Arabidopsis thaliana: one gene and its partner. The protein of the gene in region 2 interacts with the protein of the main gene of each other region in a biochemical or structural test. Each region holds a gene or a part of one and is shown on either strand. Other genes may lie near its edges.

Region 1 (6,314 bases), on a different chromosome or scaffold from region 2:
TAGGAAACTTTGAGTCATGATCGATTTTGTTTTGTTATTGGGAATAGAGTAATGAATATATGTGATTATAACTGCAAAGCAATTAGTTAAGTTATGTTATTTGATTCAATCACATTTATGAATCTGCACAGATTTGATGGTGAATCAGTAGTGTCAATGAGTAATAGAAGCAAGGAGACTGAACCAGTCCCGGTTGAGAATGACTATTATCGGGAAAACGGATTCAACAGTGATGGTGATGGTGATGATGTGAAGGTTAATGGTGACAGAAGCTCCTTCACTGATTTGAATCAACTCCCGGCGATTCCGCCAGCTTCTAGTGGTCAAGGTTTGCCGTTTGCACCTGTCGATTTCCCGAGCCCCGGCGATGTTTGGACTTGGAGAGTTGGGAGGAGAGTGAATAATGCCGGGTTCCATAAGGATCGCTTACTCATTCTCCCGGAGAGGCTTAAGGGCAAGAATGTACCCAAATCTTTTGCAAGCAAAAACACTCTTTCGCGTTATCTCGAAACTAGTTTCCCTGATATGGATGCTAATGCATTCTTTGCATCTTTTACCTGGAACATTCCGGCTTTGTTTCAGCCTGCAGAAAGAGGTAGCAACTAACACTCTTCTGTTGCGTCAGCCATAAAACTCTATCTGCAACACATGAATGATGTTTCTTTTTTTCTGTAGTTGATGCTGCGTCTCTGTTTGAAGAGACATCCAAAGAAGGACAGAATCAAGATGAGGATGCTGAGGATGTAAAAAAAGAAGGATCAACTTCGCGTTACAGCCAGAGGAAGAGAAAACAGGTGCAGATACAGACTAATGAACCTAAAGCAACTCCGCGAGCTAGCAACAGGAAAAAGACAGCCACAACAACACCAGCTGCTGAACATAAGTCAGCTCGGGAATCTTCCTCGAAACGTTACACAAGACAGCAACAAGGTGATGTGTTTGACTTGACTGAAGAAAACAAGGAATCAGATGCAAAGAAAGGCAGCAAGAGGATGAAGAAACGCAGAGGTAACTATGCAGACGAAGAAGAAGAAGAAGAGGCTTTTGTTCCGCATATCTATGTTTCTTCTATGAACGGTGTCATTGCAGTCTCTCACCCTCCTGTGGATATAAACCCAGAAGAGTTTGACAGTTATCTGAACTCTCTAGAGAATCTTCTTCAGCAACAGCCTTCAGAAGCAGGACAGGAGTCTTCATCATCACTTCCCGTTAGTGCAAGCTCTCCAGTGAGAGATTACGAATGGACAGAAGCTCGAATGAAGCTTTCATCGCTTCTGGAGAAAGATTTCTCTTCCTTGTTCATGTCTAATGAAGCTACGGAGATGGCAAGCTTGGCAGCTAAACTCAAGAAAGATCCAAGCCTATCAGCTGAAGAAATAGTGAGGTTGAAGCTAATCGAAGAAATTCCAACTTTCAGCGAAGTTTTTCAAGAGAACCAAAGCATGATAGTAGAAGCAGATAGGTTCTTCTCCGCTCTCGAGCTTAACAAAGCGAAGGTCGCATCTCTCAAGTACGAATACAGCGACTTAAAGGACAAGCTAGGCAATATCCAAACGGAAGTCGATAGAAACTCAGAGACAATCCGTCAAATTGACGAGCAAATCGCTCAGCTTCAAGCTAAACGAACCGAGCTTACCCGCTGCATCAGTAACAAGGGGAAAGAGAAGGTTGATCTAATCTTTGGTCAGAAGATGGTAGCGAACTCAATCCCTAAAGTGGTTCAAGAAGTTCAAGCAGCTAACTTGAAGAAACCTGAATGGGAAATGAAGAAAGACAATGCTCTTAAACGTGAATCAGAGATCCTCAATAAATTTGCCCCTCTCAAAGGATTTTATCTCTAAAACTAAAACCAATTGATGTTACGTTACATAAGGCAAAACCTACTCTGTATCCATATTTTCATAAAGAAACAAAAAGATCTTAACTTTGATAACCATTAGATAAAAAAAGTCAAGATTTTTCTCATTTGATCACAAACACATTAGATTACTGTACAAGCACTATCAAATCTCTACCATTGTCTTCAATCTTAGGCACAGTGACAATCAATTCTCCATCGCCGTCGCAATCCACGGTAACGAGCTCAGGCCTAGTTGATTCCGGTAGCCTGAAACGCCACACGTCAAGCTCAAGCTCATCAAGCGACAAACCAAGAGACGATGAACCATTGGTTCTCACAAGAATCTTGGTCACACCAGGATGAATCTCAACCATGTAAGCCCTCACACCTCCTCCTCCTCCCCCGTCTGTTTCCGCGACGAACCTGAAGCAGTCATGACTCTCTTCAACAGCCACGTCAGCGTCTGACTTCAAGGGCAGCTCTAGAACACGGCTGAAGATATGTGGGAGACGACGGAGCTTCTTTCCGGGTTCTCGGGTCGGATCACGAGCGTGATGGATCAGATTGTTGTTATTTTCGTTTCTGGGTAATGGGTGGATTTTCATGGGTCTTTTTTTTTTGGGTGTGAGAGTGATAAGAAGCGAATGGGTCAAAATTAATAGGAGAAAAGATGAGGAATCTAATATAAAGTGATCACCTTTTTGGTGGGAATCAAAATTGCCAGAAAGCTACGGCTCTGTATAACGACTTTGAAATTTGGATTTCTGATCCAACTTTGGGATTAGAACTAGGCAATGATTAAGTGATGATTTAAGAAATGGATAAACAAAATTTGGTTGACGAAAACAGTAAGCTGCGAATGGAGCCAACCAACAGACTGAGAGAAAGGTTTTAAACTGTACATTTTTCGTCAAAACATAGGGAAACCCCCCTCCCTTCCAAAAAAAAACATTTACGTAACTTTTATTTATCCGTTTAATATTTACATTATTAAATATTTCTAAACAATATCTTTCCTAACTTTTATGTTTCTTAAACATAATCGTTGTATTTGCAAGAATATTGCCCTTCAATAGTTACTTCTACGCACAAAAACCTTCGAATATAAGTATTGACGATTTATTATGAAATTTAGACTTTTTTATATGATATGTAAACAATAAAAGTGAATTATTTATAATCTTTATAAAAAAAACTACTTATGAAATCGTATGATATAATAAAGTTAGCAATCTTGTGACAAAATTAATTTTTTTTTGTATATGTCAAAATCATCCTATACTCAATTTGATAATTTAAATATCAGTAATATGGAATATGGATGTAGAAATTGATAAAATTCAACTGTATCAGATATTATAGAAATTCTTTAAACATTTTTTTGTTTGGTATCAGCAATTCAACTGTATCAGTCTATCAGATATGATATAAACTGTTTTCAGTAATACTTATTCAATTATTTTCTTTGGTATCAATATTTTTTAAAAGAATATATCGATTTATGTGTTACGTGTGATGATGATTCTTTTAAATTCAATTGTATACGCCGATGACACTTCCGCCGCCAATAGCGTCAACGGCCGCGAATACAATTCTAGAGAAACTCTCATTCTGCAAATCACTCAACCACATCAAGCAACTCCATGCTCACATCCTCCGTACAGTGATCAACCACAAACTCAACTCCTTTCTCTTTAACCTCTCCGTCTCTTCTTCCTCTATCAATCTCAGCTACGCTCTCAATGTCTTTTCATCTATTCCCTCTCCGCCTGAATCCATCGTCTTCAATCCATTTCTCCGGGATCTATCTCGTTCCAGTGAACCTAGAGCGACGATTCTGTTCTATCAGAGGATTAGACATGTTGGTGGTCGTCTTGATCAATTCAGCTTCCTTCCGATTCTTAAAGCAGTTTCCAAAGTCTCGGCCTTGTTCGAGGGTATGGAGCTTCACGGCGTTGCGTTCAAGATTGCGACTTTGTGCGACCCTTTTGTTGAGACTGGTTTTATGGATATGTACGCGTCTTGTGGTAGAATTAACTACGCGCGCAATGTGTTCGACGAAATGTCGCATAGAGATGTTGTTACGTGGAATACTATGATTGAGAGGTTAGGATCATAAACAGAGTGAAATGTTGTTTAGTGTTTTCTTTTTTAAAAGTTGTTAACTTTAACTTTTTTGTAGGTATTGCCGATTCGGTCTTGTAGATGAAGCCTTTAAGCTTTTTGAGGAGATGAAGGATTCTAATGTGATGCCAGATGAAATGATTCTCTGTAACATTGTCTCTGCATGTGGTCGTACTGGGAATATGAGATATAACAGAGCTATTTACGAGTTTTTGATAGAAAATGATGTTAGGATGGATACTCATTTGTTGACTGCTCTTGTTACTATGTATGCTGGAGCTGGTTGTATGGATATGGCAAGGGAGTTTTTTAGGAAGATGTCAGTGAGAAACTTGTTTGTTTCGACTGCCATGGTTTCTGGGTATTCAAAATGTGGGAGACTCGATGATGCTCAGGTTATATTTGACCAAACGGAAAAGAAAGATTTGGTGTGTTGGACCACAATGATTTCGGCTTATGTTGAAAGTGATTATCCTCAAGAAGCTTTAAGAGTTTTTGAGGAAATGTGTTGCTCTGGGATCAAACCTGATGTGGTTAGCATGTTCAGTGTTATATCTGCTTGTGCTAACCTTGGTATTCTGGATAAAGCGAAATGGGTTCACAGTTGCATACATGTTAACGGGTTGGAATCAGAGTTGTCAATAAATAATGCCCTCATTAACATGTATGCGAAATGTGGAGGTTTGGATGCAACAAGAGACGTGTTTGAGAAGATGCCAAGGAGGAATGTAGTGTCGTGGAGCTCTATGATCAATGCGTTATCTATGCATGGAGAAGCCAGTGATGCACTTAGCTTATTTGCCCGAATGAAACAGGAAAATGTCGAGCCCAATGAAGTCACTTTTGTAGGAGTTCTCTATGGTTGTAGCCACTCAGGACTAGTTGAAGAAGGTAAAAAGATCTTTGCATCAATGACTGATGAATACAATATTACTCCAAAACTTGAGCATTATGGATGCATGGTGGATCTCTTTGGCCGAGCTAATCTCTTACGAGAAGCTCTTGAGGTTATAGAATCAATGCCAGTAGCGTCTAATGTAGTCATATGGGGATCACTGATGTCAGCTTGTAGAATCCATGGTGAGCTTGAGTTAGGCAAATTTGCAGCCAAACGTATCCTCGAGCTGGAGCCTGATCATGACGGGGCTCTTGTGTTAATGTCCAATATATACGCTAGAGAACAGAGATGGGAGGACGTAAGGAACATAAGACGTGTAATGGAGGAAAAGAATGTGTTCAAGGAGAAAGGTCTTAGCCGGATTGACCAAAACGGGAAATCACACGAGTTTCTCATCGGTGACAAGAGACATAAGCAATCAAATGAGATTTATGCGAAGCTAGACGAGGTTGTAAGTAAACTGAAGCTAGCCGGTTACGTTCCAGACTGTGGTAGCGTTTTGGTGGATGTAGAGGAGGAAGAAAAGAAGGATTTGGTTCTATGGCATAGCGAAAAGCTCGCGCTCTGCTTCGGTCTGATGAATGAGGAAAAAGAAGAAGAGAAAGACTCGTGCGGTGTTATTAGAATAGTGAAGAATCTAAGGGTGTGTGAGGATTGTCACCTTTTCTTCAAGCTCGTCTCTAAAGTGTATGAACGAGAGATCATAGTGAGAGATCGAACTAGGTTTCACTGTTATAAAAACGGTCTGTGTTCTTGCAGAGATTACTGGTGAGTTTAGTAACAAATAAATATTAATTTTGCTCAAAGTATTAATTTTGTAACTTTTATTATACTTTACATTAGCCAAAACTTTAAGGCAAAAGTGAGAAAAAGATGACTACATGAATTATGTGGTGTTAGATCTTCCGAACTTCTTGGACATCTTCGGTGATAACTCACCGGACCTCCTTCGTAGCATCTGTCTCATGCCGTCGGCGACGAGTTCTGCGGGGTTAGCGTTAAACTTGCCACAAAACGACATGTGTGCATTAACAGCTTCCTCCACCGTCTTCGAACTACGGCTGAATTCGTCGCTTACCGCCTCGGAGCAAAGCCCACAAAGCCATTTCCCGGCGAAGTTAGCTTTGACTTTACTAATGTAGTGTTGTGTACAATCTTCCATTAAGCCGCAACACTCGCACGTCACCGATTCAATCTCCATTATTGACTAATCTAGAGCTCTGAACGAGAAAGAAAATGATTCAACGTTTTTGAAATTATGATTCTCTAATTTGGAATGGAATGCTTTCGTGAATATGAGAATGTTGAATACCAAAGCTAATTGTTAGTTATATACACGTAATAATACATCTGTTGCATGGTGGGGTTTATATGTTGGCTCTATAGAATTGGGACAATTAATATTTTATATTCTAGAGAAATTGAGAAGTGCTAGAGCAAATGCATTATTAC
Region 2 (8,361 bases):
ACTTACACTCATAATCTTGAAACGAACAAAAAACTGATGGAAAAACATGAGGACTTTATACTTGTAAATAAATAAAAATATTTATTAGAAATAAATAAACAAAAATATAAGAATATTTATTAATTTCGTGCTCTTTTAGTATGTTTTTATTATTATTTATGAAACATTTGATTCATTGACAAAAAAAACATTTGATTCATAAAATTAAAACATAGGACTTTTTTTATGGATCTGTTTCTTTCATGTTTTTTATTTTTATTTATTATAACATTTTTGGTCTTGAAACGAACAAGAAACTGATAGAGAAAACAGAGGATTTTATGAACAGAGTAACTTAATGCTCTGTTTCTTAATTTGGTAGGAAATGAGACATTTGAAAAATTGGGGATTGTTGGAAGTTCATCGAATCTGGTTATATACTTAACGACGGTTTTCAACATGAAGAGCATCACGGCTGCGAAAGTCGTCAACATCTACGGTGGCACAAGCAACTTTGGCACCATCGTCGCTGCTTTCCTCTGTGACTCCTACTTTGGCCGCTACAAGACCCTATCTTTCGCCATGATCGCTTGCTTTCTCGTAAATTCTAAAACCTATTCATCACAATTTTCAGTTTGAAAAAAAACTAGCTGATTATGTCTGAAAGTTTCAATCGTTTGTTGTGTTTGATGCAAAGGGTTCGGTGGCAATGGATCTAACGGCTGTGATTCATCCCCTGCATCCAGCTCAATGCGCTAAGGAAATAGGAAGCGTGTGCAATGGGCCATCCATCGGACAAATCATGTTTCTCGCCGGAGCAATGGTTTTGCTGGTGATCGGAGCCGGTGGGATTAGGCCATGCAATCTTCCATTTGGTGCTGATCAGTTCGATCCGAAGACAAAAGAAGGGAAACGAGGGATTGAGAGTTTCTTCAATTGGTATTTCTTCACCTTCACGTTTGCTCAGATGGTGTCGTTAACCCTCATCGTCTATGTTCAGTCAAACGTGAGCTGGAGCATTGGTTTAGCCATCCCAGCTATTCTAATGCTACTTGGTTGCATCATATTCTTCGCTGGTTCTAAGCTCTATGTCAAGGTTAAAGCTAGTGGCAGTCCCATTCACAGCATAACTCGTGTCATTGTTGTCGCGATCAAGAAGAGGCGGTTAAAGCCCGTTGGGCCTAACGAGCTTTACAACTACATCGCCAGTGATTTCAAGAACTCGAAATTGGGCCATACAGAGCAGTTCAGGTACTAATAACCTCACTACTTCTCTTAGTTTCTTGTGGAACAACTTAGAAACATTTTAGGGTTTTCTTAATTTGCAGGTTTCTTGACAAATCGGCAATCCAAACACAAGACGACAAGCTGAACAAAGATGGGTCGCCGGTGGATGCATGGAAACTCTGCAGTATGCAACAAGTGGAGGAAGTTAAATGCGTGATCCGGGTGCTTCCGGTTTGGCTCTCGGCCGCCTTATTCTACCTAGCTTACATTCAACAAACAACCTACACAATCTTTCAGTCTCTTCAATCCGATAGACGCCTTGGTCCAGGAAGTTTCCAGATCCCGGCCGGTTCTTATACCGTCTTCCTAATGCTTGGAATGACGATATTCATACCTATCTATGACCGCGTCCTTGTACCTTTCCTTAGAAAGTATACAGGCAGAGACGGCGGTATCACACAACTGCAGAGAGTTGGAGCAGGACTGTTTCTATGCATCACAAGTATGATGGTGTCTGCAATTGTAGAACAATACAGAAGAAAGGTAGCTCTCACAAAACCGACGCTAGGGTTGGCCCCAAGAAAAGGCGCAATCTCTTCGATGTCCGGTATGTGGTTGATTCCTCAGCTAGTGCTAATGGGTATCGCGGACGCCCTCGCTGGAGTTGGACAAATGGAGTTTTACTACAAACAGTTTCCAGAGAACATGCGAAGTTTTGCTGGTTCTCTGTATTATTGTGGAATCGGATTGGCGAGTTACCTCAGCACCTTTTTGTTATCGGCGGTACACGATACCACAGAGGGATTTTCAGGAGGAAGTTGGCTTCCGGAAGATTTAAACAAGGGAAGATTGGAGTATTTCTACTTCTTGGTTGCTGGTATGATGACTCTAAACTTGGCCTATTTCTTGTTGGTCTCACATTGGTACCGTTACAAAGATGTTGTGGCCAAGGACAAGGACATGGACAAGACTTCTGCTGAGTTTGATAAGGTGTCAGTGTAATAAAGATCTTTCCTTTGACTCTTTGGTTTAGGGGCTTTGAGACAATAAAAATACAACCTTTGAACAAAACATTACATACAAAATACAATGTAAAATGTTTATATATGTAAAGAACCATAGCTTCCGTAAAATTCCCATCCCTCAAAGAACAAGCCCGGAAAATTCCCAATTTATGAAATGGGGAAAAAACGGAGCATTGCTCTGTTTTTGGTGATAACGAATAAATTTAAACAGGAACAGTTTGTCCAGTGAGAGCGTCATGGAGATGCAATGACCCATCTTTCATCAAGTTAATGCTTAAGCTTTTGAACCTCTCTCTTGAATATTGTCTCGATGCCTTTCTCCAGTCAGTTCCAGCTTTCATCATCGTCACAAACTCATCATAGTTTATACGTCCGTCCTGTAAAAAGCAAACAAGCCCAACAATCCGACTCAGAAGCAGAGGGATATATCTTTTCTCTTGACAAGCTTTATTGTTAGGCCTTAAAGGAGGATTTTTTTGGATATTTGAAAGAACCTTGTCAGTGTCAACTTCACGCATGATGTCGCTTAGAACACTGGCGTCTGGCTCGCCTAACTCATCCGCTAAAGCTTCCCGTAGCTCATCAAGTTCAATGTATGTACTTCCATCTTTGTCGAAAAACATAAAAGCTAGTTTGAAAAGTTCATCATTCTCTATCTTCTGCAAGTGAATTATCACAGCTACAAACTCTCCATAATCCAGAAACCCATTTCCATCGACATCCGCCTGCGCGTCAAAGCCATACAGATTTCAGCTATGTTTATCAGAGAAGAACACTGAATTGGTCTTTAATCAGATAAGGGCAATGCTTAAATTACCACTTCCATCAACATTTTGATCTCTGGTTCACCAAGTTGTGAACCGACCTTCTGAAGCCCAGCTTTGAGTTCCGGGTAAGTTATTTTACCATCCTTGTCATCATCCATCAGTGAGAACATGTTCTTTATCACTTCAACCTCTTGAATAGACAAGTGCTCCGCAATTACCTGGAAGCATTAACAGGGATGATAATGATCAAAACCAAATATAGACACACACAACAGACTCTCTACAAACTTCAGCAGAAAAGTAAAAGGCAAAAAAAAAACACTTACACGAAGAACTTTCTTTTTGAATCTGTTCATCATAGAGAACTGCTTCAACCTAGATCTGACTATATCTCCTAAAGGAACATTGGGAGCTTTCTTTGCATTCTGTATCCATGGGTGAGCTGAAAGGTGAGAAAAAGAAAATCATTAGTAATAGAGTGGATTAAGGTAACTACGACCATTAAAGAAAACAGAAACACAAGAACTTCACCTAACACTTGCTGAGCAGTTAACCGCTTAGTCGGATCAGGATCCAACATCTGCTTCACAAGGCTCTTGGCACTCTCTGATATCTGAGGCCAAGGGTCTCTCTTAAAATCAAGAACTCCCCGCAAGATCGCAAGAGCAACACCTTGTTCAGTCTCTGTCAATAGAAACCACAATCTTATCGGTTTATCTAATCAACATAGGTGAACAATTACACAGCTGCTAAAATAATTAAAAGAAGAAGCTAACCAGCCCAAAACGGAGGAACACCACAGAGCAAGATATAGATAATAACTCCGGCACTCCACACATCAACCCCTGGTCCATAATCTCTCTTCAACACTTCTGGAGCCATATAATACGGACTTCCTACAATCTCTGTAAACTTATCTCCTACAATAAAGAAAACGTTATTTACCCAATCTCAGATATCTACACAAACTTCCATAAACATGAAGATATGGCAGGATAGTCTAAAAATAGAACCATCCACTGAGTTAAGAAACACTAAAAATTGAATCTTTACCAGGTTTGAAGAACACAGACAAGCCAAAATCAATAGCCTTTAGTGGAGAATTCTCCTTTTTATTAGCAAACAAGAAATTCTCAGGTTTCAAATCTCGATGCATAACTCCATTAGAGTGACACATCATCACAACCTCAGCAATCGTTCTCGCAACAGCTGCAGCAGCACGCTCCGTGTAATGTCCTCTAGCAACAATCCGATCAAAAAGCTCACCTCCTTCACAAAGCTCCATAACCAGATGCACGTTCTCGTTATCCTCATAACTAGCCTTAAGCTTAACTACGTTTGGATGCTCAGGTAAAGTAGACATAATCGCTACCTCACGACGAACGTCTTCGATATCGACAGCTGTTCGAAGCTTTCGCTTTGAAATCGATTTGCAAGCTAAAGCTTCGTGGGTTTCACGATCAGTACAGAGGTAAGTGATTCCGAATTCGCCTCGACCTAATTCACGACCTAAGATGTATTTGTCGCTGATCTGAGTTTGATTGCTCATAGGGATTACATCTTTGAGAACACGTATTGGAGCTGGGGATCTGGTGAAATCTCCGGCGAATGGGTTTAATTTCCGATCTCGATTGGGTTTTTTCGGCTTTGAAGATGGTTTTGATTCTTTTGAGTCTGGCCTTACACAGGCGTTACAGTTACCCATGGCTGAGTTAAGAAACTCAGCAAACTCAGAGAAAGGAGATCAAGGAAGAAGAAGAAGAAGGATTATAGAAGAAAAAAGCTTATCTCTTTAGTTCATATGGACGCCGGAAGTGACGGTGGCGGTGATTTTCCGGCGAATTGGAGAGTTGGGTTGGGAGGGGGAGAGAAAACGCGGGTTCAGGTGAGGAAAAGTCGGACCTTTCGAAATTTCGGATTTTGTTTGATTCAATTAAAAAAAAGGGAGTCTTTGATTTTTGTGTATAGTAATATACAGTATTAGTTTATGATGCATTTAATAACTTGAGAGATTTTTCTAACCATTGCACCATCTTCTTAGAAACTTGTAATTTTTTTTCAATTTTTTTTTTCTTCTAGATGGATTTTTTGGTCCAAGCTTATGACTAATAGAATTCACTTCTTTATTTTTTGGTTGAACTCAGTGGATTAACTCTTGCATTTTTCAGTGGTTTTATAAACAAACAAACAAAATCATTTGTATTTTCAGTTATTATTATTATAAGTTTATATTGATCATATTATAGTTCTATCAAGATGTACAAATGATAACCGACAACAATGATTTTAGAAAATTCAAACTCTTAGATTTAACAGCATCAGAAAATTTAAAGGTTGGATTTCACCAAATTAAAACCTAATTAAAAGAGCATTTATTGAAAAGAAATATAGGCAGACTTCAAAACATTACGGCCAAACGTATAATTAACAGTTTAGCGAGGAGGACAATGTTAGCCGTTGGTGTGAATTAATGGTAATGAAATGAAGGGATAAGATTGAAGTTCGAGGAAGAGAGTTTTGTTGAAGTTGTTGACCAGCGTGGTGGATACGGTGAGACTCTGAGATTGTAAGACAAAACAATAAGTGCGACGTTGATCCCAAACTATTTTTTAAAAATTATTTTCTTCTCTAGAGATATACAATGTACGTAAAATAGAAGAAAAATCATAATAATATTTTATTTATAGTTTTGAATATATTTTTTTTGGAGCAATTTTTTGTTTCTAATTTGCATTATTTTGAAGTCTAGTTCTTTTCTGTTTTTGTATGTGTACAATCATAATCTAGATGCTAGGATATGAAGAAATTCCCGACAGAAAAAAAGAAAGGATAGGAAAATATTGTGTGTATAGACTTCCTCAATTATGAGCAATACTTATTGTGTTGTAGAAAATAAAGCAAAGTTATATAGGTAAATAAAATTCGAAAAGAAGAAGCAAAGTACGAAATATTCCATTAATGGAAGTCAACAACAAATTTAAAAACACTAAAAATCAATGAAAACTATGTTTCTTTGGCTTAGAAAGTAGAAACCGCAAGTCGTCCTATCCTGACTTCGCTACAAGTTCAATTGTCAATGTCATACTCGTTTTCTTTATCTTGGTTTTACATTACATTACCTTGGGGATTTGGATACCATTCAATCCATATATAAGAAAATGTGTGTTGCGCGTCTATATTCCAAAAGACCTAATTAATATATAGTAGTAAGAATTTTCACAAAGGATTAGAGATTGAAACTTTATTTTGTTCAATGAAAATGGTCTTTGATGATGGATGTACTACCATGAATAAAATTTTAGACTTTAATTTTAACAAAATGAAATGTGTGATTTAATGTCAACCACACAGAGCTTAAGTGCTTTTGTTTCAAGGGACATGTGGTGGATTAAGTATGCATATATCATTGCATACGATGAAATATTTTAAAGCAAACTACATAGTTTTTATATGGATAATTTTATATATGTATTTTTTTCAATGATTCGATCAAATTAATATTTGGTAGGTCAGAAAAAAGCGGTTTCAATTTATTGCCCAACTAGAGACCTTCCACCCTCCTATCTATGAACCTACTAAAAACACCAACAACTTATTCGTGGAAAACTTTATCGGTTTTTTGTTCATTCAAGTTTCAAAATGGATATTTATACAACATAATCTCGAATTTAGATTATTTTAAATCCTCTGATTAATCTTCCGAAGAAGAAAGAAACGATGGACATGCTTTTGTCGTCGGCAACTTTAAAGCTGGCATAACTTAAAATTTAAAACAGTAAAAGTGACAATTATATTTGGAAAGAGTGTGTCTTTTTGCTGAAGAGAATGATTATGTTTGGGAATTGTGATGATGTGTTCTATTCAAATGCTGTGGCTGCATGTGTTCTGTATGTATCATGCATGTTGTTACGCCAACTTTTCCATCTATGTATAAGTTCAATCACTTTTCATAAATCATACATACAAATTATATTACAGCTCCAAAAGTTCAATTATACTCTAAACAAAAGAGATGTAATCCTTAATTATTGCCAGAAGTCGAATTTATTAGTATTTTAGTTTCAGCTGTAACAGTCTTTATAAGTTACTCTAATATTTTTCTAAATTGTTTTTGATTTTGTTTTGTGTATGAGACCTCTCATCATGCATTTTCAGATTGCAGTACATAATCTAATGCATGTGTGCATCTGTGAATTTTCTCAAGTAAGTGGGCTTTTAACTTTGTAAACATAACGGGCTAATGGGCCTAACTAGATTGAAAGATGTATTGAACTAAGCCTAGTATGCAGAGGAGACTTTGCACCTTGCTTGGAGAAGAGGATTAGCAAACTCTACAAGACAATTATTCTTCTTTGATTATAGAGTTTTTTTAATCATATAATGCTTATTCCGCTAAAAGTTCTCGTTTCTCAACTTACCACCAAAATCTGAATAGTCAAAATACAACTGAAAAAGAAACTTTCTCTGACCACTAGAGTAACAGGACAGTCACGGGCAAGACATGAAAGCAACGCCACGTGTAATAGCGAAGACTTGCGGAACATTTTTGTTGAAGACTTGCGAAACTTGGGGAGGGCAAGGCTTCTACGTTGCAATTAAGAACTAACCAAAGTGGAAAATAACAAAAAGAAGCTCAATTTCTTCTTCTTTTTAGTCAAAGCCATATATTCTTCTATAACTCCATAAAACACATAATCCTTTTTAAAACCACAAAAAATACTTCGAATTTATCATGTATCAAACAAAATAGAAATATTTACTGGCTAATTGAGAGAAAGAAGTTATGAAAGGGGAATAAAAAAAACTATTAAGAATGGGGAGAATTCTTGTAAGAATAAGACTATTAGGTGTTATTTGGAAACTAATTAAAGATGAGGGGTATATTTGAAAGTTTAGGTAAGAGAAATGAAGTGAAAATATAAAAGGAGAGCAAAAAAAAAAGTTGAGACCTTGAATTGGCAGCAGCCTCCGTGTGTGTGACCAAATATGCTTGGAGGAGAGTAGAAGAACGCTTCTTCTCTCAATTTCGACGACAACGTGAGGAAGAAGACGAACTCGTCTCTCTCTCTATTTATTTTCAATATCACCTGGAGAATTCTGCAGGGACATCAATAATCATAACCTAACAAGTTAACGCCACCGTTTTTCAGGTGACTTTTGTGTTCTATTGATCCTGCTTAAAATCTCACCTTTGTTACTAATCTTAATCAGTGCACGACGATTTCTGTTTTTCGTTTTTTGCGTTTCCATTACGATGGGAATAATGCCGAGATGGGTTTCTGGGTTTAACGCGTTTCTCGAGACTTTAGCTCAACTTTGTAAATTAAAAAACTTTTGATGACCGGTAGTGAGATTCGAATGTG

Evidence for each region.
Region 1: the proteins of CDPK1 (region 2) and HSP1 form a complex in vitro, tested with the Arabidopsis thaliana proteins (one study listed by BioGRID).

Annotation. Positions count from the first base shown.
Region 1 is NC_003075.7:8,507,114-8,513,427, reverse strand, and holds HSP1 (17.6 kDa class II heat shock protein), read right to left. Parts: upstream 2,521-6,314; 5' UTR 2,446-2,520; coding exon 1,987-2,445; 3' UTR 1,842-1,986; downstream 1-1,841. Other genes in the region: AT4G14840 (spindle assembly abnormal protein), read left to right, coding at 132-595, 676-1,841; AT4G14820 (Pentatricopeptide repeat (PPR) superfamily protein), read left to right, coding at 3,390-3,946, 4,023-5,634; AT4G14819 (hypothetical protein (DUF1677)), read right to left, coding at 5,749-6,063.
Region 2 is NC_003070.9:6,521,034-6,529,394, forward strand, and holds CDPK1 (calcium-dependent protein kinase 1), read right to left. Parts: upstream 5,043-8,361; 5' UTR 4,704-5,042; coding exon 4,052-4,703; intron 3,919-4,051; coding exon 3,775-3,918; intron 3,683-3,774; coding exon 3,530-3,682; intron 3,441-3,529; coding exon 3,325-3,440; intron 3,217-3,324; coding exon 3,049-3,216; intron 2,957-3,048; coding exon 2,726-2,956; intron 2,609-2,725; coding exon 2,435-2,608; 3' UTR 2,209-2,434; downstream 1-2,208. Other genes in the region: NRT1.9 (Major facilitator superfamily protein), read left to right, coding at 362-579, 677-1,230, 1,308-2,208. UniProt on the Arabidopsis thaliana protein: May play a role in signal transduction pathways that involve calcium as a second messenger. May be a positive regulator controlling stress signal transduction.